Mytilus edulis: one gene and its partners. The protein of the gene in region 4 binds, or shares a complex with, the protein of the main gene of each other region. Links are inferred from orthologs where the notes say so. Each region holds a gene or a part of one and is shown on either strand. Other genes may lie near its edges.

The links.
Region 1: eukaryotic translation initiation factor 3 subunit C-like (region 4) and eukaryotic translation initiation factor 3 subunit B-like share a complex: the UniProt entries of both Caenorhabditis elegans proteins name them as parts of the eukaryotic translation initiation factor 3 (eIF-3) complex. The link is inferred for Mytilus edulis from reciprocal best matches to the Caenorhabditis elegans genes eif-3.C and eif-3.B.
Region 2: eukaryotic translation initiation factor 3 subunit C-like (region 4) and eukaryotic translation initiation factor 3 subunit G-like share a complex: the UniProt entries of both Caenorhabditis elegans proteins name them as parts of the eukaryotic translation initiation factor 3 (eIF-3) complex. The link is inferred for Mytilus edulis from reciprocal best matches to the Caenorhabditis elegans genes eif-3.C and eif-3.G.
Region 3: eukaryotic translation initiation factor 3 subunit C-like (region 4) and eukaryotic translation initiation factor 3 subunit I-like share a complex: the UniProt entries of both Caenorhabditis elegans proteins name them as parts of the eukaryotic translation initiation factor 3 (eIF-3) complex. The link is inferred for Mytilus edulis from reciprocal best matches to the Caenorhabditis elegans genes eif-3.C and eif-3.I.

What each region holds. Positions count from the first base shown.
Region 1 is NC_092352.1:57,917,508-57,925,376, reverse strand, and holds the start of eukaryotic translation initiation factor 3 subunit B-like, read right to left. Parts: upstream 3,007-7,869; 5' UTR 2,935-3,006; coding exon 2,796-2,934; intron 37-2,795; coding exon 1-36. UniProt on the Caenorhabditis elegans protein: RNA-binding component of the eukaryotic translation initiation factor 3 (eIF-3) complex, which is involved in protein synthesis of a specialized repertoire of mRNAs and, together with other initiation factors, stimulates binding of mRNA and methionyl-tRNAi to the 40S ribosome.
Region 2 is NC_092345.1:11,400,229-11,407,211, forward strand, and holds the start of eukaryotic translation initiation factor 3 subunit G-like, read right to left. Parts: upstream 3,014-6,983; 5' UTR 2,922-3,013; coding exon 2,902-2,921; intron 2,804-2,901; coding exon 2,757-2,803; intron 1-2,756. UniProt on the Caenorhabditis elegans protein: RNA-binding component of the eukaryotic translation initiation factor 3 (eIF-3) complex, which is involved in protein synthesis of a specialized repertoire of mRNAs and, together with other initiation factors, stimulates binding of mRNA and methionyl-tRNAi to the 40S ribosome.
Region 3 is NC_092344.1:35,625,028-35,632,720, reverse strand, and holds the start of eukaryotic translation initiation factor 3 subunit I-like, read left to right. Parts: upstream 1-4,673; 5' UTR 4,674-4,801; coding exon 4,802-4,804; intron 4,805-7,693. UniProt on the Caenorhabditis elegans protein: Component of the eukaryotic translation initiation factor 3 (eIF-3) complex, which is involved in protein synthesis of a specialized repertoire of mRNAs and, together with other initiation factors, stimulates binding of mRNA and methionyl-tRNAi to the 40S ribosome.
Region 4 is NC_092349.1:66,957,270-66,964,935, forward strand, and holds the start of eukaryotic translation initiation factor 3 subunit C-like, read right to left. Parts: upstream 3,020-7,666; 5' UTR 2,885-3,019; intron 1,751-2,884; 5' UTR 1,741-1,750; coding exon 1,646-1,740; intron 1,129-1,645; coding exon 1,063-1,128; intron 654-1,062; coding exon 577-653; intron 1-576. UniProt on the Caenorhabditis elegans protein: Component of the eukaryotic translation initiation factor 3 (eIF-3) complex, which is involved in protein synthesis of a specialized repertoire of mRNAs and, together with other initiation factors, stimulates binding of mRNA and methionyl-tRNAi to the 40S ribosome.

The DNA of each region.
Region 1 (7,869 bases), on a different chromosome or scaffold from region 4:
CCTTTGGCTTCGATTTCAATAAATCTCCAAGTAATTCTGAAAAAAAACAATAAGTTTCTGTGATGTACATTTTACAGAAGAAAATGCATTGTTAATAAATCAAATAGTTTATGCAAAGGTATGTGAAATCTCAAATAAGTGATTTTTACTATTCATGTACAAAATCGCAAATGATATACATGTAAGCCCAAAGAAGCATGCTTTTAAGCATATCTTAATTTAAGGAAGCACATAAGTACGCTTGTCATGTTTTGGGATTTTTGTAAGATTTTCAGAATCCTCTGGTTTAATCCATTTGAATGCCTTAAAAAATTTGCCCGTTAGCTCCCATTTTTCTTTTTATAAATCTTTTACATGTATGATTTTTAGCCATCTGTAAAACGTGTTATAATATTCTAATTATTTTTTAATAGTTTTTGAGAACTTAAACTTGTCAATGATACAGCTATGAAACGTCAAGAGAAAATATTTTCCCACCAAAATTTCAATGGCTAATATCTCGAAAACAAGCACATTGACCTATATATTTTTTTGCTCTTTTAATTTCTTTATTAATCCCCTATCAATATATACTAGTGTTTTGAAATGCTAATTATTTTGAAACTGAGAACACACTCCCTTAAATATCTTGATTACTTTCCCCAGCAAATCTCAGACTGTCTCTAGAGTAATAAACAATTTGACAAGGTTTGACTGAAACTTTATATCCAAGGGCGGATCCAGCCATTTTCAAAAGGAGTGGTCCCAACTCAGGATAAAAAGGGGGTTTCGTTTTTATGTCCCCATTCAAATGCATTGACCGTCCAAAATAAGAGGGTTTTCAACCCCGCAATCCTACCCCTGGATGTGCCACTGATATTGTAAAAAGTAGTTTAACAAAATTGTTATCAACAGAATGAAAGAACATTTTTGAACTTGTTGATGAATTAGTGTTTAAGGTTCATCATAACCTTTTGGCTAAAATGGCCGTATTTACACCCCAAATTTTACTCTGAGTATAGACTAACCTATACACCTGCAACAGTTTTAAGGGATGGCAGGAACTAGATATATAAATTTTAAATGCATTTTATGTTTCAGAAAATTATAAACTTTTCTAGATTTTGCTATCCATTTTTTTCGTTCCTGCAGAAGGTGCAAAAATTAACTAAGTAGTGAAAACGATTGAGAAGCTCCCCTCATATAATCAATGTTGTGAGTAGTATTGATTTAAATGGACAATAGACACCTGTAAACAATAGGTGAATTTACAGGTTTAAACTGTGTAACTGAGTGGACCGTATCAAATGAAACTCGGGTGTTTGTTTATTTTGCTATCTTCTGCAGACTGGAAAAAAATGAACATCAAAATCCAGGTAAGTTTTTAATTTTCTGAAACGTAGACTTCATATAACTTTTATATATATCTAGTTCCTGCCATGCCTTAAAACTTTCCTGGATGTACCAGTTTGTCTGTACTCATAGTAATTTTGGAGGTGTAAACACGGCCATATTTTTCAATTCCTTACGATGAACCTTAATGTCAAGTGGCAAATATTATATATCAAGGATATGAGGGACAATCCCTTGTTAGGATGGTTGTCAATGTCAAACCATTGCCAAAGAATCCGGGTTCGTTCGCCCCCTTTTACTTTCGCACCCTACATGTTCGCATCCAAAGTCCGTTCCCACCCTACATGTTCGCGCCCAATTTTAATTGTTTGATTTAGTAATCATGCAAGTTTTGGCAAGAGTATTCTTGTTGTCATTGTCTTAAAATAAAGTGAGACAGCATTTTTTTTTATGTGTTGAATAAATCTTAATCATGAGTTGGATAGTGTATTGTTAAAAGAAAATATAATCCTTTTTATAAATAAAGTGGGATTCTGTCATCGTTTTATTTTGTGTTGAATAACTCTTAATCATGTTTTGGTTAGTGTATTGCTATAACTTTGTTTCATTGACTTGTTTCAAAACAACTAAGTGAGATTCTGACTACGTTTTTTTTTGTGTGTTGAATAAATTTCATCATGTTTTGGTTATAATAGTGTAAAATACATGTATTTTATTGTTTAATTGTTTCAGATCAAAGTTACCAAGCTGTCAAAAACAATTATCTTTTGTGTTTTTCATTTAAAATCTTCAATGTTTTACTCATACCGAGCTATATACATTCAATATTTACACCAAAGCAATTTAAAACAACAATCATGATTTCCAATTATTCAACTGGAATGTTAATAAAAATTGGGCGCGAACGTGTAGAGTGCGAACGGACCTTGGGTGCGAACGTGTATTGGGCGCGAACGGACCTGATACCATTGCCAAACAGGTTTGACAAAAGAGTTGACATATGGTATAGATACTGGTTGAAGACGGAAGGTTGATCTCTTATCTCATTTATTTAGATTTTTGTGAACAAATATAAGTTGCTTTCAGTCTCTCATGGATACATCAATCATACAAGTTACAACGCAAATTCTTTCTTTCCCATATTTCATCTCTTTTGTTTATATTTATATTTTTTATATTTTCAAACTAAGTGTGTATAGACATATATATTCATTGTGAAGTGCTCCTTTGAAGGAGGGATTTCCCAATACAGATACAGATACAGATTGCGCATAATTTCATGCAAATCGTTGGATTCTCTAAGAATTATATGGACTGGTATAGATAGATCAGGATTAAAACAAGACTTAAGGGGTGAAATCAGACTAAACATCTTATAAAAGTGGTTTTGAACCACTCCAGAAGTACGAAAACCATCGGAAGCCCACATATGGGGTAGAAAAAAACATGTTACGAAGGTTAACCTTCGTCAGTTACATCTTCATCATATTCATCAGGGTCACTAAAGTCTGGTTCTTCTCCGAAATCCTCAAATTCTCCGTCCTGATTCTGTGAATCAGATTTTTGTCTCCGCGATTCTGAATCGCTTCTATCAGCCGCCATCTTGAAAACCCTCGTGGATTCGCCGGTAGTTTATTGCGCAGGCGTAGAAATATAAATGTTAAACCGATGACCAAACAATAATATCAATTTCCGCAAAAAATGACAAAACAAAGAAAAAAAACGTTAATAAGACCAGAGACATATTCTACATTTGTATTATATGTCTCTGATAAGACGAACACAGAAAAATAAAGATTGAGGAGCACAATAATAACTTTTCCCATTTATCTTCAATTTTTACCTATTTAGGGACTTTTAGACGAGAAAAAAATATCAGTTTCACAATTAAACTATTTTCATACTTTCACTAACTATGAAGTGACCAATCTGAATCAATTTAACTTTTATGATCTCGACGTTTAAAGACACTGGAAAAGTTACATTTAAGGAGGCTCGCGGGTATAAGATTTTCAGAAAAAAATTAAAACATTAATTTTTCATTACAAATTTTGTTTATTACCTTAAGTAGTTGTTCCTTTATCATATGGTACAAAAATCATTCCAAAAAATCAATTTGTGTTGGCCCCAGGTGACTTTTAAAATGTAGATATCATTGAAAAAGCTCCAAATTATCTCCCTTTGGTGCAAAAATGCCAATTTTTTTGCATTAAAATATAAGTATCTTTCTTAACACATCGGTGACCTATATTTTTTATTGTTGTTTTCGAATAAGCTGTACATAAACTAAATAATTGTAAAATTTAAGCGATTTCTGTTATTTAGTTCTTTTTTTATTTCGATATTACCGCTATTTCTCCTATTAGTTCAACAGAAAAAAAGGACATTAACAAAATGTATGCTTCTTCCGAGATTGTGAGCGTAAATGAACGGTGACCCCATTTTTTTATTTCATTTTTCTATTTGAGTATCAGATAAAGTTCATTTATAGAAAAATATAGAGAAATCCTATATTAAATAAAAAAAAATTATTTAGACCCGTGATTGCCAGGCAAATATTTCAGCATACTAGTATTAAAAATTAATTTCCATAATGTTTACAAAATGACTGTACGTTTATAGCTTATGTTGATGCTTTATGAAATAGATTAGATCGATCGTCGGTGTGTTAACTAAGAGTCGGTGCTCATAACCTTGCCATTAAAATAGGAAGATATTTCAAAATGCCAAGGGGTCAAAAATGAACAGCACATACTAGTTCATTGAAGAGGATACTCCTATATCAGAGAGATTTAGAATTCAACATTTCCAAAATTGCTGAAAAAAGTATAACCCCTTTTGCGATAAAAAAAATATAGCGTATAATTTATATTAAATCTTATACGGACTATTAAAGAGTACAGGTAAAAAGAAAGCCCATTTTTCTTTAATAAACTCGTGTATTACTTATCTTGTGAATTCAAAAGACCATGTGCGATTTAAGTTGTACAGGATGTTGCAATTTTGGATGAATGTTATTTAGAATTTAATACTCTCTGACCAGGTGTGATCTGTTTAATGACTTTGCCCCAAGCAAGAGGTATTAATTTAAGTTGGTTGACCGTTATGGAATAACCGTATCACAAATGATATCGGATATGTTCCTTACGTCGTAACTACAATCCCCTTCCCTTTCCTGAATGTGACCTACCGAATTAGACTATTTACCGGATTTGTTATCACATAAGCAACACGACGGGTGCCGCATGTGGAGCAGGATCTGCTTACCCTTCCGGAGCACCTGAGATCACCCCTAGTTTTTTGGTGGGGTTCGTGTTGTTTATTCTTTAGTTTTCTATGTTGTGTCGTGTGTGCTGTTGTTTGTTTGTCTTTTTCATTTTTAGCCATGGCGTTGTCAGTTTGTTTTAGATTTATGAGTTTGACTGTCCCTTTGGTATCTTTCGTCCCTCTTTTATACTTATCTACTAATCAGAAGAACTATTTTATTAAATTCTTTCCATATCAAAAGAATGTCGATGAGCGATAAGTCGAGGTTGATTAAAGAAAGCCGAAGAATAGTTGACGCTTCCAATGATGTAAATCTGAACTCCGTCACATTGCTTAACATGATTTTGGAAATAGTTACGGGTATCGACTCTACAATGAGACGAATGGAAACAAGTATGGAGAAGCACCTTGATGATTTGAAACAAGATTTCTTAACGGTGTCAGCTAGGGTTAGAACATTAGAAAACCAGGCAAGCCATTTCAACAAAAAGCTGTCAGACTGCGAGACTAGCTGCCAAGGTGTTAGCAATCTTTTCGATCAAGTATCTGGACAAGTAAAAACCAACAGACGTAATATAAACAATCAGGATACGAGAATTAAGAAACTCGAAGACAACACCATCGTCCGACCGGGTGTTCCACCAGTCATCATTTCAAAGGAAATTGAGTCCTTAAAGGCAGCTATTCTTGACTTGCAATGCAGGTCAATGAAAAACAATCTGATCTTTACGGGATTGCATAGAGTTCCGGGTGAAGATACGGAAGAGCTTTTGCGATCTTTTCTATACGATGAGCTGAGGATCGACTACAAGATCGAATTCGGTAATGTCCATCGATTCAGAACAAAGGGGGACAACAGAAGAGCACCAATAGTTGCAAGATTCCTATATCACCGTGATCTGGAATATGTTTAAGCAAATGCTACCAGACTAAAATGTAGACCATATGGAATACGGGAACAATTTCCTCATGAAATTGAACAAAAGCGGAAGGAACTGTATCCGGTGTTAAAACAAGCCAAACAGCAAAATAGACAAGCCTCTCTTGTGCATGATCGGCTATACATAGACAATCAGCTCTACATTCCTGACACGGTATTAGAGGACACTAGAACGGAGCATACTGGCTCTTCATCAACAAACCATGACACGAGCCCAAAAGGGTCTTATTCTAGTGATACCCATCCTAGCAAAAGACAGCGACAGGGACCGTCTCCTCGCCCACCGCACACAGATGATTCACCAAATTCTGGCAGATAGGGGAATGGTGCAAGAGGACAACCTCAAAAGAATTTGAAAAGTTATGAAACTGTGAATAAGAAATATACAATTAACAATGATAGTTTAAATATTTGTTTCTTAAATGTTTGTGGACTTAAGAAAAGGCTATTGTCTCCTGATTTCATTGACATTTTGCTTGAACATGATATCTGTATTTTTGTTGAAACGATGTTAACTGATTTAGATAATTTAAACTTACCAGACGATTATATTTATGTCACAAAAAATAGATTTTTTTTTTTAAAAACCATCAGGTGGAATAGTTGTTATTTATAGAAAGAGTTTAGAAAAAGAATTGAATTTCTATAATACTGAGAGTCAATTTGTTTTATGGTTTCAAATTTCTAAATCAATTTTGTCACTTAATTCAGATGTAATTTTTGGTTGTGTTTATGTACCACCTGAAAATTCTAAGTATTCTACTATAGAAGCTTTTGAAGAATTGGAAAATGAATTGAATATCCTAACAAACACTGAAAATTGTTATGTTGCCCTAGTTGGCGATTTTAACTCAAAAACTGGGTCTTTACCCGATTATATTATACCTGATGAGTCAGTTGTTAGTATGTTTGATTTAGATTGTGATACTGATATATTATATTATTTGTATGATTATGAGAATCTGACTCGAAACAAAATCACCTTACAAAGAGTGTCTCAGTGTACATGTAGACCTAATAAGTATGGTCATAGACTGTTAGAGTTGTGCAGAAAAAATAATTTATATATTGCGAATTCAAGAGTTGGATCAGATAAAGATATTGGGGAGAAAACATGTAACGATTCAAGTGTTGTTGATTATTTAATTATTTCAGCAATGCTCTTCCCTATGATTTTTTATTTTGAAATTGCTGACTTTATACCGTTATATTCTGATTGTCATTCTTTTATAAATTTTAGACTTCAGGTCACATTTAGTAAATCAGATTCAATTGTTATCAACAATAGAAATGATCAAACTTTTGTCAGGTGGAAAAGTGAACAGAAATCTGAATACGTTGATCGAATTCACAATGATCCCGAAGGTATTTTGACCACTGTTATGAATAAACTGGACAAATTGTCCGTAAATAATGATGCAACTCAAAATGATATAAACAATATAGTTTTAGATATCAGCAAAAATTTTAAAGATGCGGCGGCAGAAACGTTTGGGAAAATAAATAAACATAAACATTTTTACAAACATGAAAATTCAAAACCTTGGTTTAATAGAAAATGCTCGATGAGTAGAAAAAAATTTCATAAAGCTCGAAAGAGATATAGTTTTTTGAAAAATGCTGAAAACAGAAGTAAAATGAGACAAGCTAGTAAAGAACATAAAATAACATTAAATAAAGCTTTTGCAAACTTTCAACAGAAGGCTGCTGATGAGTTGCGTAACATTTCTAAAAAGGATACAAAAGCTCTATGGAAAATCCTGAATAATCTAAATGATAGTAAAAAAAAAAGATAACAATGACGATATATCTCTAAAAGCATTGTATGATCATTTTAAAATACTAAATGAAACTATTGAGACAGAAAATGATTTCGAACAAGATTTGGAATTTGATACTCGATCAGACGATGTTGAGTTATCCCGTACACTTTCCTCATAAAAAAAACAATCTTTCCAGAACAGAGTAGCAAATGCCATCTGAGATTATTAAACTGGTTATTTGCACGAGACTTTTAAAATAGTTACTTTGGGTGGGTTTTTTAATAGTATATTATGTGTACTTGCATGAGCAACACGATGGGTGTTACATGTGAAGCAGAATCTTCTTTACCATCTAGACCACCTGTAGTTCACCTCCTGTTTTGTCATGTGGTACGTGTTGCTCAGTGCTTACTATTCTTTGATCTGTTTTGTATGCTGTTGTTTGTCTCCTTGCTTTTTTGCTTTTTAGTCATTGTGTAGTCAGTTTATAATCATCTTATGAGTTTCAATGTTCCTTTTAAATTCTTCACCTCATTTTTGAAGGATTACATGGCTGTTTTGTAAATA
Region 2 (6,983 bases), on a different chromosome or scaffold from region 4:
TTGTCTCATCAGCAATCATATCACATCACCTTATTTTATATGTATATATTTTTCTAGCCTCATTTTCAGAAAAACATAAGAGACGTTTGGAATGGTGCGTCAATTTTCTTTTTTGCAGACAAAATCTGAGAAATTTTCATATGGTCTCCATGGAAAGTGATGTCCCAACATGTTTTATTCATGGTGCCCCATGTCCATCAAATTATCCTTAACGATTTTCTACGATGTAATCCAACATGGTTAAATTTTCACTGTAAGTGTTGCTGTTGAGTTTCACGCTCAGTTTATTTATTTATTTTCCTGACCACATGGAACTTTTCCTTAATCACAAGGTAAGTCTAGAGCAATAATTTATAGCAGAAGATAGGTTACCATAAAGTACAGAAAACTGAATTACATCAATGACACAATTATCAACTATTGGAGAATAACTGAATGTTATGTACTTAAAGATTCTCATTGAAACCATGATGGTGGATTAAATATGGACAATGGATTAGAAATTTTAAAGTCTGCAGAGTTATACTGTGCAACCACACTAAAAATAAATGTGGAATCTGTACATGACACACAGAAAGTGCCCCATTTGCATATCATATAAAGTTATAAAGGGACATAACTGAAGAACAGTAAAAGTGACCCTACTAGAATGTGTACTTGAATGTGTTTTGTGGTTATAAGTATTGTGTATAAGTTTCATAACATGTGGTAAAGGCAATCTTATATTAAGTTTTTAGAAAACAGAAATAAAAATTCAACATTTATTCCATTTGTAAAGGGATGAGTTTAGAACACTATAAGTGAACCCACCAAATTTCAAACTTGATCTGTATTATGCGGTAATAAGCAATGTGTAAAAGTTTCATAACATTTGTTTAAGGCTGACTTCAGTACATTGTTCATAGCATTTGGTTGAGGCAAACTAACATGACTAAAGTTTTAGAAATGCAGCATAAAATTCAGCGTATATTTACATTTGTAATTAAAGGGGCACAACTGTAGATCGTTTATAGTGACTCCACCAAAAATTCAAAATTGATCTGTGTTTTGTGTAGTCAGAGATTACTCTGACGTCCAACGGCTGGTTTGCCAGACAAGCTGGGGCCATTGGACGTCAGAGCTCGTCCCATATCAAAAAGTGGATATTTGCCCACCCAAAATAGATGCCCTGCTTCGTCGCTTCTGGTGCCGACTGACGGCCTTGGAATTACATAAATCGGGCATCAATCTGTTCATTTTTCATTTATCTTTTCATTTATGTAAGTTTTACCTACCTGCCAACCTTTATTTTTCCATATTTTAACAGTTTTCACCGAGACCCATCGTCTTTCAAGGCTATTTTTTCCAGGACACCTTTCTATCATGAAGGTGTCCCAGATTACAGCAGACGCCATAAACTTTTATTTGGACTAGTTTGGAAAGAACATAATGAAAGCAATTGGTATTTTAGAAATTTTTCAACTAAAAACCTGATGCTATTCAAACATGACAGCATCTATAATATTGACAGTGCTCTAGCTAGAAATCAAAAGAGGCAGGGTGCCAGTGGAGGGCAGGGCACTTTTTATGATAAGAAAAGGCTCTGCAAATTTTTTTGTCTACGTTTCTGTGTGTATCACGAGTTAACGAATCTCTTTTTTTTTACTGTATATGTTGGTTTTTTTTAAATAAAGATGCATTTTAACTATAGTCTTTATTTCATTGTTTGTGTAGTTATGAATTATATAGTACATCTCTAAGTTTCTGTGTATTACTAATTTATCAATGTTTAGAACATGGATTGCTAAAAGTATAATTATCAAACAGAAATTGCAATATATTTTTTTTAATATGTTCAAAGACAGTTAATATCCTTAAGGTAACATTATTATGTTATTATATATTCAATTGGTTCTTTATTCCTTTTTTTGATACTAGATAATATTTTTAGAGCACAAATTTGTAATAAGCTAAAACAGGGGAAGTAACTCCAAAATTAAATTCCAACACGTTTGCGTTAATTAAAAACTGTGCTTGTCGCTAACAAGTTGAGATGGAAGGCATTTCTGTGAAGGCATAGTTTTATTTTGATGACTTAAATTCAATTCTAAAGTCATGAAAGTCTTCATTTATACACTCTTCCATTGTGACTTGGAAATCGAAAATGACGACCCAAGCTAAACACACTAAGCTAAACACACTCGCTGACACATTCATCAAATGTATGACAAAAAGATACATTGTCCTAATTAAATTACCTAGATATTAACACCTTTGAAGTCTTTATCATTGTAATTGATTGTAATGACATGATTAACCTGGGGGCAATCACACTAGTGTCATATATGTAATTAACTTGGAGATCAGAAATCAATGAAACAAAAGGCAATTTTACCAAAACGGCACAAGAGAATTTTGGAAAAAAGACATCAGGACAGAAGGGCGCGGATGAAGGCACCCAGGGCGCGGCTGAGTGCACCCAGGGCGCGGCGCCCTTCTATTTCAGGCTAGCGAGACCACTGATTGATGTATGCACTATCCATGCTATCTGTGGCTAATTTATGTAGACCATTGATTGACACCGACAGTGATCATGTGACTATAACTTATAATGAAAAAAGTATACTCCATAGGCAACCACCCTTTTAAATTTATAAACGATACAAGACAATGAGACCAAACAGAACCTTCTGGTTTATTTACTCCCTTTAGTATATGATCAGAATGAAAGCAGCTGGAACATATGATAAGATGACAATATGTCAAAGGCGCCTTACCATCTTCTCCTTGCTCTACCTGTTCGGCCCAACTGAATCCTTTCGGCCTAAAATAGAAAAGAAGTTATAGAGTTTATCAAGGTTAGGGAGTCTTTCAGATTTGAAAATAGTAGACTATCATATAGTAATTTTAAGCCAAACATACTCTGCGTCTATTGACGGCATGCTTCTTGACTTATTTGACACTTCCGGTTAAATGGGCAAAACTAAATGATAACATTATCTCGTCCCAAGTTGCTTTTGAGACGTTTCGGCCACAATACCAGTTCGTCCATAGGTCATTTCGGCACATTACCAGTTTGACACCTGTTGATTCGGCCATATTTTTTCATATTTTTCATAATCATTATTTTGGTTATAGAAATTTGTTTTGGAAATTTTACTTGACAAAAAGAAAATTGTTCAAATGAAAAAGATAATTGATATTTGAGTAAAAATGCATCATATAAAAACAAGAGAAAACTGTTGAAATTGATCATAACACTTGTATATGTGTCTGATAATAAGAATTAATAAGAATTTGTAGACTGTTTGATATTTTCTAAACAATGACTTGACAAAAGCATAATATTATGACTTCTAAAGATAAATCAACGGAATGATAATTAAAAACAAATGATCAGAGGGCACACCCGCAGCCAGGGGTGTTCGATGGGTTCTGTTTTAATTGCAACTGTTAAAGTTAAGTATGATTGTATCGAAAGAGACCGTGGTTGATCCTCTAGTGTGGCCAATACGTCCTGCATCACTCACGTTTAATGGCTTTCATTTATTATGTACACGCAAGCTTAAAAATCGAGCATTTTGAACTGATGATTGTTTCTATACTATGTCTAGCGGCAAAACATTTCCCAACTCTTCAAATAAACAAATAAAGATCTATTTCGTGTCAGAACAGACATAAAAATATATGTGAAAAAATGAAAACTAGTTAAATTACGATAAAAAAAAAGAAGACAAAAAACACATAAAGCACCGATCTTATCTGACATGAATATAAAAACAAGAAGGGGTACAATTTCTCAATGAGGCAACTATCCATCAAATTAAACGGCATGATTTATGAAATATTTTTTCTCGTATCGTATCGTATGTGAAACAATTTAATGGTGCAAATCAACGGCAGGGTCTGAATGTGGTTAGAAGAGTCGAGAATAATTAGCAAAATACAGAATTAATGGCCAAAAAGATAAATGCGGGATTGTCTCGCTGTGCCCATTGGTAGCCTCGTTTTCTGCGTTTTCAGTTGGGTTGTTGTCTCTTTGACACATTCCTCGTTTCCATTCTTAATTTTATTGTAAATATACTAGAGAAAATAGAAGGAAAAAATCACACAATCTATAGTTTCCGGCATAACGCACAACACATAACGCCCAAAAATGGATAATAATCACCATTCAACATCTACATCTCCGTTTTATCCATGCAATATGGCTTCGTGTATTTTATACATTTGTCCAAGCTAAAGAAGGTTCCAAGTGATTGTGTAATAGCCGTGGGAGCGATTGAACAGGGCGTCAATGAAATATCAGGCTTTGAGATAATGAATTTATTTCAACTTTTACTGTGGCAATGGCATTTTAACTTGAAGAGAAATGTATCAGAAAAGGAACACTATAGTAAAAATGTATGTATAGCAACGATGTTTTTTTTTTAATGTTTTTGATATGATTTTGTCACTGTTGTTTGACAATTTTGAACAATTTACTCGAAGCTCTTTCATTTTAAGGAACCCGTATGGATATATATTGATTTTTTACTATTTCATTGGTCCATATTTACACGTAACGTGACGGTACCCAAATTGCACCTATTTTGACTGTTTTTTCACCTACGTTTTTTTATGATCATGAAAAAAATGCCCATACTGTGTGTATTTTGTAGCCCTATCCTTCTTTATTGTATAGGTACACCAATTTAATTTTGAATCCATATTGAGTCATAAAAAAATGGGTTTGAATCAACCTCCAAACTGTCCATGATTCTGTAATGAGGAGTACCCAAATTGCATCCATGCTTTATAAATTCACATCGTCAAAAGTCTGATAACCGAGCTTTTGTTTAATTTCTTCAAATATTTTGAACAATTGGATATTAGTCCATGCTTACTCTTCATATTTTACGAAATGGATACTTATGATATTGTATTTGGTAATTTTAGGAAGATGACGCTTTGATGACGTCGCATGATGACGTTTTCGTACATTTTGCTTTTTCAGTAAACAGTCCATCTGTTGATTATCACTGTGAACGTTTTGTGTATATCTAAATATGTTTACCTATGTTAAAAGACGTATATAGTATCAAATCATAAAAATACAAAGTGATTAGTCTCTAGGAAATCTTGTAGGATTTCTGTTGCTATTTTTTCTAAATAGGTGCAATTTGGGTACTCGGTGCAATTTGGGTACCCTTACGTTAGAATGTTTTCTTTATAACAGTTGAGTTCATCATACAATGTCCCATCCAACAACTTGTTAGTTTTTCGAATTGATATTCTCCCGAGCGACTATACTTTAAATATATTGATAGAATAAACATGATTACGGTCCATGCAGTTTTGTTTAAACACTTATGTTTGAGTGATAAAAATCAACGACCAGGGTCTAACAGGGTTGTTTACAGAATAGAGAATAATGAGCAAAAAATACAGAATCAAGGGGGAAATATTTAGGCAGGATTTTCTTGCTGTGTTGAAGACCATGCAAGTCTCTTAGACACATTCCTCGTTTCCATTCTCAATTTTATTGTAAATATACAAGAGAAAATAGAAGGAAACAAATATCCTTCAATCTATTGTTTTCGGCCAAAGCTCTATTTTTCAGCATAACACTCAAGAATTGATAAAAATCATCATTCGTTATTACGTTTTATCCATGTAATGACATATATGTTCGTGTATCACTAAACACAAAATGCATCGAAACAAGGTCATAATATGGTAGCTCAGTTTTCGATGAAACAAAAAAAAAAAACTCATTTAGTTATGTTTGCATACACAAACAAGCTGTAGAATATTATTAATTCATTTTTTCTATAAAAATTGATTGATTTCAAATTGGTCTGAAATTTAAAATTTACATTTTATGAATTGAATCCGTGAACCCGGTTTATTTTGGCTACTTTACACCACTGATTACTATATTATGAGTTGTTTGATTGACTGTCTACTTGTGACAATCACTTTATATTTTCTCTTTGCAGAATTTGTTAATATTGTTTTTATTTTATTTATTATTTATATTTATCATATACTTAGCATTAATATGATAGCTTTTGCATATGTGTAACGAACGGAAGTACACAAGCCATAATTTCCCACCCAGGCTGATAACCCATATCAGCCCGGTCTGATAACCCATATCAGGGGCGTCTCGTGCAAAAACCCATAACAGTGCTTCTCGTGCAAGTTACTTCCGGTGTTTCCGGTATCGGTTGTTTATTTTTTCCATTGTGACGTCAGATATTGATGACGACGTCAAAATTTACGGGAACAGTTTTGTGGGGATAGTTTAGTACTTACTAACAAATACCATTGGCAATTATGAATCATTTTATAGTACAACAAACATGGAGTAATAATGATAATGAAACTCTTCCAACTACTCAATGTTTCAAAATGCCTCTATAGGAAATGTTACCATAAAATGTACATATACTTTTAGAGTTAAATTAGGGGTTCGACAAGGTGATAACCTAAGCCCTAATCTTTTCAAAATTTTTATAAATGACTTTCCATCATATATTGATAATGTTGATGATGATCTGATTTTGGGTGATACTAATATTAATTGTTTAATGTATGCTGATGATATTGTTTTGCTCTCTACCACATCATATGGTCTTCAATCTAAGTTAAAAAATGTTGATAAGTTTTGCTCTGACTGGTGCTTAAACATAAACACCAATAAAACAAAAATTTTAGTATTTAATAAGCAAGGTAGACTTATCAATGAAAAATTTACTCTTCAGCAAGTTGAACTGGAATGTGTACAGCACTACAAGTATTTAGGCCTTATATTTTCGGCTTCAGGTGTCTTCTCTCATGCAAGACAGGAATTGTACAAAAAGAGTCTAAAAGGCTATTATAAATTATGCAAAGATGTTATTCGTTCACATCCAAAAATTACTACCAGTCTACATCTATTTGATCACATGATCAAACCTATTTCTTTATATTCCTCTGAAATTTGGGGTACATTTAACCCAAAGAGTAGTAAATTTAGA
Region 3 (7,693 bases), on a different chromosome or scaffold from region 4:
ACCATATTAATGATAAGTCATGTCAATACAGAATTGCTGACTACTGGACTGGTGATCGTGACCCTCATAAAACTATAATATCAATGTTTAGGCGTAAATTTATGATAAACATGCATCATTGCTCAACAATTTGGTAATGTCTCGCCTATTGTTAGACTTTGAAACATTTCTAAAAAGCACTAGCTACGAGATTTGAAAAAAATAGAATATGATTATGTTTGGTTCAATCGTTCATAAAAGTGAAATAATGAAATAATGATTCGTTTTTGGCAGCAAATTTGACGCTACATTTTTGTCAAAATAAACAACGAAATATCGCTGATGAAGATTGGTTACGCATGCATAAGTCGTGTTCAGTCATTTATAAAAGGAAAAGAATGTCAACATTGAAGTGAAACATAGGTTTCTTATTAACTTATTTGTTTAACCTATAACATGAAATTAAATAGACCTATAAAAATCCAATTACCGTGACGAGGTCGCAATCTATTTAGATTTAGGTTTATGTTTATATCGGGTGATGTGAATGTCGGGAGTATTCGAGGGTCATCTCGGCAGTTATTTAGATGGCGTCTAAACTAAAATAGACATGAAATTCTGATATACATTATCGAGTACATGATTTGTCAACTGCTTAATTCAGACTTATTGTAATTTGGATATATACGTTTTAGTATTTTATAAATTAAATTTGAGGAATTGAGTCAAATCGTTGAACATGAATTTGGCAGCTAATGCCCCTTTAAAAACATGAGTCCGCTTTATTTTAACACTTACATTCTGAACTGTTTAACATCGTGTAGACTGCAACGATGAATTTGTATGGTCGTACGTACTTGATAATAAACTCATCATAGATACCAGGACTAAATTTAGTATATACGCCAGACGCGCGTTTCTTAGTGTGTCATTTCAGTTGCCGGCCCGCTAACCGTAAGCAATGTTTCTTTTGCAATTTGTCAGAAATTAAAACTTTTAAAAACTAGTTAAAACTTGCACTGAACGATTAGTTGCAGAACACTTATTAGCGGCCGAGATGAAACGATATTCAGTGGCGGATCCAGGGGGGGGGGGGGGTTCCGGGGGTGCGCACCCCCCCTTTATTTTTGCCGATCAATGCATTTGTATCGGGACATATGTTTTGCACCCCCCTGCACCCCCCTTTGCCCTGGGTTAGCACCCCCCCCCCCTTTTCGAAAATTCCTGCATCCGCCCCTGATCTTTTACTGTTTTTGTGAAAGGTATCACCAGCCTTTTATTCTATGTTTTCGTCACTGACCAGATTTACAACATATATCAGTAAAATAACGGTACTCAATTGTAAAAAACTATCAGATTTTTTGTTTTAAATTCAAAAGAATTTGAAAACTTTAGACAGTACTAAAATATATATGTAGTAAATTTGTGAGTAACTCATTAATTTGTACTGACAATTCAGCAGTATAAACGTAAATATGTATATATACAATACTACTAATGGGAACTATATCTTCAATTATTAATGCTCAAATGATATTTTGGTTAAAAACTATCTTTGTTTGGTTAATAAATTTTGTTTCAGAATATCAACATATGTAAATAACGAAGATCTGCTTTAAGGTTGGTCGTTTTTCAAATATTCCTAGAAATGAGAGAATAAAATTGAGAATGGAAATGGGGAATATGTCAAAGAGACAACAACCCGGCCATAGAGCAGAAAACAGACTACGACAACAATTAAAGGGGACAGTTTTCACACAGCGATAAAATCCCGCACCCAAAAAGGGGCTTTAGTTGTCCCCTAAACAAAACTAGTTCAGTGAAAATTGACGTCATACTAAATTCCAAACTAATATGAAAAAAAATTAGAAATGATACAAGACATACGCTCTTGACTTGAGACAGGCGCAAAGATGCGGCGGGGTTAAACATGTTTAGTGAGATTTCAAGTTTCAACACTCCCCCTATACCCCTAGCAAATGAAGAGAAAACAAACACATAGCAATACACACAGTAAAACTGTCCGAGTCTGATGTCAGAATAAGCTAAGATTTTATAATAGTCTCAGGAATAGGTAACAAAAGAAACTAAGAAAAATGATAATGATAAAAATTAACAAAGGACTATGAACAGTTAATAACATACCAGCTGCAGACCTTAATTAAACTGATTAAAAGATGTTGTCTTCATCCTATTTACATCAAGTACAATACCTCCCGTAAGAGGTTTAGCTACATACGGTCATATATATATTTTGTAAACTTGTTTTAGGTGTTCATAACAAATCCATGAATTTGGAAATTTTATCCGAGCTAGGACGATTCCCACTTTATTATGATATGATTAAATCCATGTTAGATTACTGGTATCGCTTGGAAAATCTTGATTCCCGATTTTCTCTTCTTAAAGATGCTTATGTTACATCACAGAATCTTTCTCATTAAAAAAAACCCATCTTGGTATGGCTCTATGAAATCAATTCTTGAAATGATCCCAGACATAAATTATCTATCTTCACCATTACCAAAAATTAATAGCTTCAAAGCTAATATGAAAAAAAATTAAAATCATATTTTATAGACTTGTGGAACACTGAATTGGTAAAGCATTCAGATGGTAAACTTAGAACTTATGTTACATTTACATCAATTTTTGGAAGAGAACACTATCTTTCCATTATTGGGAATTTTGAACAGAGACGAAGCTTAACAAAGCTCAGAATTTCATCACACCACTTAAGAATTGAGTCCGGAAGGTATCAGGGTACTCTCCAAAATGACAGAACTTGTACTCGTTGTAACTCCGGAGGTGTGGAGGATGAATATCATTTTTTATTCCAATGTGTTAAATTTAATGATGACCGCAATCATCTATTTCAAGAGATAACTAAAAGTTGCCCCAACTTTTCAACTCTTAACGCAAGAGATAAACTGATATGGCTTATGAACACAGAAGATAAGTCTATTTTCACTGCTGCATGTAAATTTATTTCGAAAAATTGTTAATTATGTGGCTTTCTTGTCTGCTTCAGACACCAGGAGGACTGTGTAAATACAACAGCTCATTGAGTACCACCCCTTGGTGTCTGTTGCAGTAGGGAAACCTACACTATTCTCAATACCTGTTTACTGCAGTTTATGTTATTAATTGCTGTGAATATACATGAACTTTTTTCATTTGTGTTTGTTTTTCTGCATCAGATACGAGGAGGATTGTTAGAGCTTTTAAGATCACAATCCTAGAGCATCGTCCCTTGGTGTCTGTTGCAGCTAAACAATCATTTATTTTATATTTATACATTTTCAGCAAAATATTATAAAATAAAGTGAGAGAAAAAAAGTAAATAAATAAATGGGGTTTGCCACATCTCTGGAGTAGCAACTCTCAAATACTTTTTATTTGACAAATAATACCTGTATGACTATTTCAATAGTTTATTTTAAAATGTTATGTAAAATACTGTATATTGTATCAATTATATATGTTATGTGTATATGCCCCCCTGGGGACCTAATTTGGAAAATAAAATTTATCTTATCTGATATGACCGTACTGTAGCTACGTTGTTCGGTGTGAGCCAAGGCTCCGTGTTGAAGGCCGTAAATTGACATATAATGGTTTATTTTTATAAATTGTTATTTGGATGGAGAGTTGTCTCATTGGCACTCACACCACATCTTCCTATATCTATAAAATATACGAGAACTTGTAAAACCCGTATTATGTCAACACTGAACTGGTTTTTGAATAAATGTGTCAGTTATTTCGAATGCAAAGACCCTATGAGTAAATCAATATTAATACCAAAACATGCCATTAATAAACTGACAACAGTTTTGTAACTATATATCTTCTAAATAAATCTGTTTAAAGATTTGGTTAGCTTTTGGGGTGGTTGCCGACATTTTTGTGCTTTATAAAGAATCATATTCCCATAAAGATTAGATGTAAAATACCTAATGTATCATATTCCATTACCATGTGAAAACTATATTGCTTAATCTAATAGGATTGTTCTCTTTGATTTTGTTAGCAAAAAGTATCAATTTTTCGATGTGTTACATTATCATGCATAATCATTTCAATAAGCGTTGAAGACTGCACCGGCAGGCTTCAAAACTGAGCCGAATTGGATAATTTACTAAATATGCTAGTGTTATGATAAGTATTTTTGTTATGTCTGAGTAAAAGTTATTGTAACTATGTATCTATATTGTTTGTTTCTATATTCTGTTCTTCTCATTTTTTGTTCTTATATGCTTCTTGATTGATATTAAAAAGTAAAATGACAAAAATACTGAACTTAGAGGAAAATCAATTCGGAAAGTCTATAATCACATGGCAAAATCAAATAACAAAACGCATCAAAAACGAATGGACAAGAACTGTCATATTCCTGACTTGGTACAGGCATTTTCAAATGTAGAAAATGGTGGATTAAACCTCTTTTTATAGCGCTAACCCTCTCACTTTGATGACAGTCTCATCAAATACCGTAATATTCAGTACATTGATGCGTTAACTAAACAGACACAATAATACATGTAATAGTCACAATAATAAATCACAGTTGAACTGGTGTGTTAATGTTGTCGTTATCATATTCGTATTCAAATTAACTTTGTGATTGACAAAGAATTATATAAAAGTTAAACTGATTTATCAGGTTTATGGTAGAAGAAATGAAAACTATAACGCCTACAGTACGGAGCTGTTCTCAAACATGAATGACAGGTTTTAACCCTTTCTCCAATCAGATTTATTTCCGGTCAACGTGCTGTCATGAAAGTTTATACACGAATTTCACAATAAAACAAATAGAATGGTAAGAATAATAAGTGAAAAGTATTTTTCACTGTTGTTTATGAAACACATACATATAAAAGTATACCAATAAGCTATGTACCAAGGAATATTTTCAAGTTTATTGGATTTATTCCCAAAAAAACGAGACCAGATGGCAAATTTCTACATTTTTAAACTGTCAACATGCCGGGTACGTTTCTCCAAATAACGTTAGACCCCTTTCACGTTCGCACCCTTTTCACTGTGCTTAAACGGCTGTGGTTAAGTTACCCACAGCCCAAGATGGAGCCGCCTTGCGTCGGTTAGATACTTTTCTTCTATATAATAACAATACCACGAATGCATCAATTAAACAACTGAATTTAAAAGTTGTATTAATCGTTTAGGGAAACCCCTAAACTGGAAAGGTGATTAAATTCACCAAAATAAACGATCACAGCACGATTTTAAAAAACACTTAGGCTGTCCGTAACTTCAAAACAACTTGTCCGTAACTTTTTTCATCATACCAATAGAGATGTCCGTAACTTTCAAAGAATCGACATACGCGGATGTAATGTTTAAACTGATGATAGAGATTCCATCGAATACATATTCACAAAACGAAGTAGATGTCTAGTATGATATAATTCATTGTATCGATGAAAGACAAAATTGGGAAAAATATGAAAAAAATCACGATAAATCCGTAAAACTCGGGTCTCATTTTGTATAACGTCGGGGTACCCGAATCGCCTAGTTCGGAGGGTTGTTTCCGATCATAGCAGATAAACTGTTGAAACATCATTGTTCGTTTTTATTTTTGAACAAGTAGACTACACAAGTATTTTTTACACATACATGTAGCATGTATACACTTACTGATTTTCTGCCAGCAACGACAAGGGTAGCGTGAATCCGGGATTTTGGAGGGGAACCCAAATTGCCCAGGCGTGCAGTGGATAGACTATACGAAACTTAAGTGCACAAACTTTTTCCGTCTTTTTGAAAAAGCCAAAAACACTTTTCTCTCATCCCCACAAAAACAAATCCCATCAGCATTGACAGTAAAATAAAAGGGGTGTCAATCTGGACACACTGGGACGTTGCGCACGGTGATATTGCGGCACCCTGGCCAAGATTTACAGTAAATGGGAAAACTTTAAAAAAGGACATTTTGTATAAATGAATAAACCTAGTTTTACAGCTAGCTGCATATTTCATTTGTATGCAAGTTGCATTAAATCTCATTAAACTGAATAAAACTAAAAGACACAATAGGTAAAAGTCAGTGACAATAAAAGGAAAAGAGCAGTCATCATAGTGTAACAATTCGACATAGTATATAAAAATATAAATAACTACGTAGGAAAACAGGGTAATTTAATAGTCTAACAACCCCTGATGACATACAAAGAGAGAAAAAAAACATACTAGGAAACATATTCAAAAAATCATAACACTATAACTAACTGGTGGGATGTATAAATACCGAGCCGCGTCAAAGAGTATTCATCAAAATACACATAGAAAGAAACAGAGGTGAAGACAAACTGCAAACATATAATTAAACTCAAAACATTAAAGAGTATGGAAAAGCCTTGGTCTGACAAGCGAAAAACGTCGATAAGACGCACATCAGTAAATAAAAGTTCAAACCATAACCAGGATGGAGTACCACAAACCCCACATAAAACGTCTGTGGTGTAAGTATGATGCGTTAATAAAATCACATTTGGTGGTGAATGAGTAGTATAAACGGCCGCGAAGGTTACAAATATGATGTTTATTGTCTTCTAATTGTTGAAATTATAATTCTTAAAATTTTAAATCAAAAGTTACCCACATCTAAAAATAAAGTTACGGACAGTCTGCTTAGTTTCGATCAAAAAGTTACGGACATCTTATGTATTTTTTAAAGTTGACCTTGCGCTTTAGTGAACTCTATATTAACAAATTTATGGTAATTGTTAGTCATTTCTTTATTCAATAATCCTATAAATATTTACATTCTGCATGAAAAACGTCGCAAAAGGTACATTTTGTATGAATTAAATATCAACGAGTTTAGAGTCCGCCATCTTGGGCTGTGGGTAACTTAAGTTACCCACAGCCGTTTAAGCACAGTGCTTTTATTGGTATTTACTATTGTCTTTAACTTAGTCTTAGTCATATATATAGTGGGCAAATAAATGGGGTATGCGATTTAACGCAAAAAAGTGCTACAAGTACATACTAAGCATAAAGAACAAAAGCCAGAGATTCTATACACTCAACGGCCACATACTCCATCAAGTTCAGAGCAACCAAAACCTAGGAGTGCAGATATCAGAAGACGTGAAGTGGAGCACGCACATAACTAACGTTGCTAAAACGGCAAATTCAACCCTAGGCTTCCTCAGAAGAAATTTACACCATACTGTCCACAGGAATGTAAGAAAACTGCTTACATTTCTCTAGTAAGATCAACAATGGAATATGCATCAACAGTATGGGACCCCTACAGTATAGCAGACTCAAACAAGCCAGAACAAATACAAAGACCAGCAGCACGCTTTATCACAGGTGACTATAGAACTAGAGAAGATGGCTGCATAACAAACATGCTTACAAAATTAGAGCTACAGGAATTGCAATTGAGACGCACAAGCTTATATTTTTGTACAAGGTGGTTGAGGGGCTGCTACCTGCTATTGATCCAGACGACTTCCTCAAATCAGCAAGACCAAGACAGCTAAAATGTTTGACAACTGTCAAGCCACAAACAGTTGAAAAACAAGTGAGGAATAATACCAGGTGTTTTGACATTCCTACCAGTAAAACACTGCAACATTCAAATTCATTCTTTGTGTCCACAATAGTAAATTGGAACCATCAAGAAGACACTATTGTTTGCGCAACAAGTGTAGAGAGCTTTAAATCTGCTCTC
Region 4 (7,666 bases):
ATCTTTATAGAGGAAGAAATTTCATGACAATTTTTGTACTTGGCGGTTATTTTAGATAAAATTTGTTTCATCTACATTGTATTAGCCTATAAAATGGCAACTCAGACAGCATGCATTTTATTGATAAAATCAGATAGATGTAAATGATGCATGCAATAAATATGTTAAATCTACAAAGAAAGAATAAATGGTACCAGTGATGTTGTAAGAATCAATGATCCAAACTGCATTTGTAAGCCCTATAATGACAGACTTTATTTGCACTACCATGGAAGTAAAATATCTTTGCACTTAAATTAAAAGTGGTCCCTTTTTGTCGATTGACATAAGCTAAACATTTCGAATCAGCAAAATTCAAGATAATTTTCATCATGTTCATATAATACTTTCATAAATCAACAAAGTCAAAGTATTAAGCACAATATTTATCCTGGCCATTCAACTTGTACCATTCCTCTTGCAAAAAGAAAAAAAAAATATTTGCTTGAAATTTTCTACTGGAGATTAGTAATTGCCTTACAAGAACAATTTTAACATGTATATGAGTAGCTGATATTACACCTTTTACTGACTTACCTGTAAGAACATTGGCCATATCTTTAATCTTTTTATGGTTATTCATGTTTTTCATAATAGTCTTTAATTCTTCAAATCTGTAAAAAGAAAATTATCATGTTTCATACATTAAGAGAAACATAAAATAAATGTCATCATGAATGCACATTTCCAGTTGAAATCAAAGATTGAAATAGATATTTCTTAAATTTAAAAGTTTGTATTCTATAAGGCCAAATAAAAATATATGTGTGGTTCGAGTTACCCTAGCTGCCTACCCTACTTTTAAGACTTAATTTTAGCTTACCCTAAAGATTTTCTTACATCATTTTTTATTCAGCACTATTAAATTCAGAATGTTGCTCCCTTAGACTCAATGTAAAAAATAATCCCTACCTTCCTATCCTATTTTTATTTTTAGATATAACTGGAACCACACATACTATTTTATTTGGTCTAAAATAATTCAGTTTAATCTACATTTGATCTATATCTTTTATTTCTTACCGTTTATCTTTAGCACTTCGTACTTCACGCTTTGTTTCTTCTTCTTCATCACTGAACTGGTAACCCCTTCAAAAGCAAATATATGTCCTCTTAAATTTACATGAAAACTGTTGACCCTGCATGCATAAATTGATTTTGCTCCGTTTGATTTTACTTCTTACAACAGTTCATAAAATTTTCTTTGGATCACCTGATTTCAAATCATGACAATTTATAATACTATTTGTACCAAAAAATAACTAATCTTGACACTTACTACATCTAATCGTTAGAGAATTTGTTATCAACCATTACAAAGTCAGAAAAAGATACTTTTTTTTCAAGATGTTTTTACTTTTACAATTCTATAAATAATGTGAAGTACAAGTTTTCCATGCATATAAATCTTAAAAAGATCTGACAATCTTGCACAACATGTACATGTAACATGAAAAAAAGTCCAGAGACCCATACTTTAAAAAAAAAAAAATTGTAAAAGAGTATGATTTAAACTACATTTTGAAAAATTATTAATCCCCCCCTTTTCTACCTTAACTACATGTAGGTTAAAACTTTTGCATAAATCTGTAAGCTTAATACTTACGTTGCTGGTTTGGTAGTGGTTCTACTTGGCGCTACCTCTGTATCACTTACTGAATCATCTGATTCAGAATCAGATCCCATAAAAAACCTCGACATCTTGAATTAGCTAAAACATAATCAAGAATAATGTTTGAATGATTGTTAATATACACGTGTTTCATTAATTTTCTTAGCAAAAAAAATATGCTTTTACTCAGATTTACACATTTCTTGTTGCAGATTTTAAGCTTAAAGCTAACTGTTGAATAAATGAACAGTGCTGTCATGACTTGAGATGAATTTTTTTTTTAGATCGTTTTGGAATTGCTCCCATAATTGGGGAAAATGTAGGGTTTATGCTGTTGGGAATGCTTGATAATCCATGATATTTTCTCAGATTCAACACTCATGTTAAGCAAACAACCCGGAAGGGGCCCCAATCTGTTTTGCATATAAGAAACTAACGAGAAACACTGTTACATCACTATGCAAGCGGTAATAAATTACTGCCTGGTATGACCATATTACACATGCACATTGGCAAAGTTCGGATGGATATCTAGAGTAGATGGGATTGACATGGTCATATATAACACCTGTTATGATTGGATATAGCTTTCCCGCCATTAGAACTCAATGAGCCCTGGGTTGTGGCAGGGTTACTAGAGATCGACTCGATATCCCGGACGTTATGACGTCGATCCAATCAAATTTGAATGTAAACATATTCAGAGTAGGGGCCTTGTACTTCCGGTAATATAGAGTCCTTACTCTTCAAAATTATGTCCCGTTCATATGGAACTAGAGTCAAAACTCTAGTTCCATCCGAACTTGGCCATTGGAATTGACAGTGTATATATTTATCCCCGACAACAAAAAAGACACAAAGTGCAGATCTCAGACAGTTTCTGACAACTAGTGTAAAGTTGATTTCTCATGTATTCAAATTAAACCTTTGAATTTGGTGAAATAAATCATGTTTTAAATTTATAAATGGAAAGTTTGTCTACTTTCCTCTGGTGTTGAAAAATTCACATAATTGGTATTTGTTTACTTGTCAAATGATTTCCCCAAATTTTATAGAGTTTGGCGTTGCTGGATTGTCTTCAAGTGACCAAATAAGAAAGAACCCTGTCCCTGACCACCGGCACTAAATCTCAATGCGTACGGTAGTACTGTACAAGCTTATTCTGCAGTTTACAATGTATATAGAATAAAAAATCTTAATCGAGATGTAGTTTATATAAAAATGTTTGTTCACCTTAGTGTATATACTATTTTACAAGATATTATGACAAATGAAATTGGCTGCAATATGTTATTTCGCACGCAATGGCGGCTTCCAGCAACTACACATGAGTTGTGATCTACGTCACAAAATTATGAGTACGACAATAAAACCCGGATACGTACATCCGTCAGGCAAGAATCTCCGATATTCATCCATTTTATGATCTTTCATGCCATACATTCTGAAAACTTTAAAGTGAAAAGGATTAATCATGAGTTATTGAGGATAATAGCTAAATATTTCCCCTGACAGAAATTTCGTATACTGTATGTACTGGTAAATGCCTCCGATATCCGAAGAACCCCTCGAAAGCTGCGAGGGTACAGTGGCATCCATGATCATCCATGTACACTCCCTATCGGGATTAATGGAGATGTGTCACTAACGTATATTTATACGACAATTATTTTTACAAGGACAACTCAATCCCCACCCAACACTAAGGGAGTGCTAGGACACCGGGAAGTCTGTTATTATGGTGGAGGAAGCCGAAGTACTCGGAGAGAACCACCGGGCCACTCGGTGGAAACAGACAAACCAGAGAGATATCAGAAGATTGATCTCCAGGTCAAGTAGGGAACAACTTTGACCAACCGAGGCCCCCAAAGTACCCATTCTAGTTTAAACTCCGGTCTGGGTACCAGAGATGTGTGTGAGAGGGTGAAAATTACCCTTCTGATGTACTGATATTTTTAGCACCCCGAGTGAGAATCGGACTCGGGACCTTCAGCACTGTAGCCATCGGTCTTAACCACTAGACCACGAACTCACACTCACTTTATCAAAATGTCGATTTTACTATGCTTTATGGTCGGGTTGTTGTCGCTTTGAAACATTCCCCAATTTTATTTCTTTCTAAAACATAATAAACAGTGGGGGTCATAAAAAAAACTTTGTCTGTATCTGTATTAAAAAGGGAACGTGTAGAATCCTTATTATTTTTAATAGGCTTTTATGCACTATTTGTGAAAAGTAAGAAATTTATGAAACAAGAGTTGTGAATAAAATATTTGAAAGTTTTTATAATATCCAAAAAAAAACAACAACAGAAAATGAGCTTGTTTCTTGCTACAAGTAGACAAATTTCATTAACTCTTCTTCATCACGAGGACTATAAAGACTATAAAATTTCGCTAAACGAGATATCTCCCCTTATATAGTTAAAAGTTGAAAAAAAATAATCGACACAGAAACAAATATTTTGATAACAATAAAGCTAATTACATTTCCGTTACTTTTTATGTTCCTAATGGATAAAATGAGAACCCGGGGCCACTGACTGAGGTAGCGTGAGAATTTTACAAGCACTGTTAGATTTTGAAATACTGTATAATTCATTCTTCAGCAGTTCGTCACGGGGAAAAGTTTATAGTATAATGTTATGTTAGGTTGTGATGATGCTGAGCTCGTCGATCCGTGAAAAATTAAGACTTATCAGCATATGGAACAAAGTTAAAAATGATGTTAATTAACAAAAAATACCAACTCCATTGGATATTCAGAACGAAAAGTCCTTTATGGAATGGCAAAATCAAAAACTTAAACACATCTAACGCATTAAAAACAATTGTCACATTCCTGACTTTGTACTGACATGGCGGCACTTCCTTGTGTTCCTGGTTTTATAGCTAGCCAAACTTCAAACTTGCACACTGAGAGAGTTGAATTTTTTTGGCCGGAAATATGGAGATTTTTGGTGTAAAAATAGTGCAAAAGATTATATAAACAATTTTTATATTGACTCTTCACTTTAATCCTCAATTGACAGAATTGATCCAATCCAATTAGTTACGATAATGCTATATAAGATATAACTTAATTGTGCAGTTGATGAAATCGAATATCATCCATGCAATTCATTTTCAAGACCTGATTTTGAAACTCTTGACTATCAAGGTTGCATCTACTGACAAAATAATTGTATTCCTCGTCTCAGATATGGACTTAAACGCAGCCTTTCACCTCATTTCCCCATCAATAAATTTTATGTCAAGATGACATATTTTTTTAAGACCCTCGATGCGGACTATTACAGACGCATCTACTGACAAATATTATTTCTTCACGAGTTGTATCTCAGATATGGACTCTAACGCAAACTTCAATTAGTAACTCATATGTGAAATGTAGGTCAAGATGACCTTATTTTTTTATCATGACCCTTTGTTATTAAAGACGCATCTATGAACAAAATCTAATGAACTATAACTATAACACAGATAGATGGGGAGTCGTGTTGTAGTGGTTAGTACATAGGACTACTAACAAAAAAGTTCCTGGTTCGATCCCCGTTCCGGCTCTCCCTTGACACCATTTGTGAGTGTGGTCTTGAAAAACGACGACAGTCCGTCGGAAGGGGACAATATATGGCTGACCAATGTTCTCTTGCACGTAAAATACAGCCTTGTAGATTTCGAGTTAGAGAAGGCTAATTCCGCTAAAAGACAGCACTCGCACCTGCAAAGTGGAAAGGGATTAATATAAGTTGCAATAACTTGTTTCCCAATCCACTGCTAATAAATATGTTTAAACTAGATAGATGGACTTTAATTTTGTGATGGACAGACGAAACACTAAATCCGTTCCCCAACTTCGTTTGACAAAAGTTATAAAAATCTTAAAGCAAACAAATATCAAATTATTCCTCTTAGTAAAAGTTGAGAAGTCCTAGACATAATGTTTTCATTTCTATTCGCTTTTGGTGGAATTTAAAAGTATCAACGAACAGTCATAAAAAGGAATGTAGCGTTGTATGATATTTAACCATGAATTCTGCTCAAACCAATGCGAAGGGTAAACTTAAACTTACCAGTTATGAGAAATATTTATCATTGTTGAATGCCTCATGTGACTTGAAGATGAAGGACAAGAATAAAAACGTTCCTTATTTTGATTTTACCATGTATTGATATTAAATATTATCTCATGTGCATTCTCTCCATACCCCATTGATATTTTCATTGGGTATACGACAATATTAAAAAAAAAATGCTTCATGCTGGTACTTAAAATCAGAAAGCTTCAGAGACAGTATAGCAAATTATTCTTTTCTTAACAACTTACAAATCCTTGACAAAATGTTTTCATAATAATCTGCTTGATTGCAGTGAAATTGCAAAGTATTAACAAACACCAAGTGGATATTTGAGAGGTTTGAAAATCACTTTCTGTTACTGAAACATTTTACCTATAAAAACTCCCGAGATTGTTTACGTTGAAAGTATAAAGATCATATATTTATTATGATTATTTTTCTAAATGATGAAAACTGTATATACTATAATCAAAATAGAATATAAAATGAGAAAATAACGCAAACTATAAATCATATCCCATGTACCGACGACGAGTTGTTGTTAAAACATGGTACCTTGTCTACATTTCTTAAATAACCTTTGTTTGAGAAATCCCCAAATACGGTCACGCATTCTGTGCATAATAAAACAATGCACATTCATTGTTATAAATATTTGGCATCTTTGTCTTATATAAAAATTAATAAAAAATATATTTATTTCAATTACCTAAAATCTTTTATTTTCATATACGGTATTACCGTAAAAATTTGAATTTGAAAAAAAAATCAATTCATATTGAGAAGAAACTATTTTGGTGTTTAGAACATCACGGCCGACACTCGGCTAACCGAGAGTTTGGTCGGTTAATCTATATTGAGTATGCGGCTATATCGGCGGTTGGTCTGTTAATCGGGTTGGCTAAAGTCTGTTAATCAGGTGTTATCGAGAAAATCATTGCAAGGTCAGTATGTTTCATTGTATAACTTTTTAATTATATTTATATCATAAAAACTATTCATGTCTGACAAAACGATTTGGAATACTGAATCCAGTGGTGTAATTATTTTTTTTCTAGCTTCAATAAACGATCTATAAAATGAAAAGGCGAGTTACTCATCAGTAAATTTATACACATTTTACACACACAAAATGTACACAAAAATGACAAGTTGGTTGAGTTTACTTGCATGCAATATTTTGAACAACGAAAAAAGACAGGCATTATGTTTGTTTACCATATTAACATCAATATGTGAAAAATCTACACGAAAAACTGTATTTTGGTGACATAAATCAATTTTTGATAAAAATGTGGTCTGTTAATGGGTCGGATGTATAAAACTCGGTCTGTTAATTGGTCTGTTAAGAGTTATGAATGACATTACAAGCATAATTTTATTGCTATATGGGGTGTTATCTGAATAAAGGGATAGACTCAAGATTAGTGGCTAGAATATATGGAAACAACACAATCATGAACAAGTTTAGACAATGGAATCTGAAAATTGATAGAAATGGTTTCAAAAAGTGTAATATCAAAGTAATATTAATTTTATCAAATAATGGTCGCATATATCATGTGGATTCTGTTTCATTGCTATGAATGGCACCAATTTGTCATTTACATAGGTAACCAGTATATAAATCAGAGATAAACTTCGTAATGTTACAAAACATCAGTAAGTAAAATTGTTTTTTCTTTCTTCTAAATTTCAGTATTAGTTGTAAATTCCGCTCCACAATCATTCTTCTCACATTTACTAATGTCAATTTCTTGTTTAGAACCACGTCTTACCAACGATTAGAAAACAACGGTCATTCCGTACTTGATACATTTAGGCGGCAGAAAATCAGAATGATGACTTGGTACAAAAGACAATACATACCGGAAATAAAGTCCTCATAGATACCAGGATTGAAATTTTATATTTACTCCTTATATTTATGCCAGACA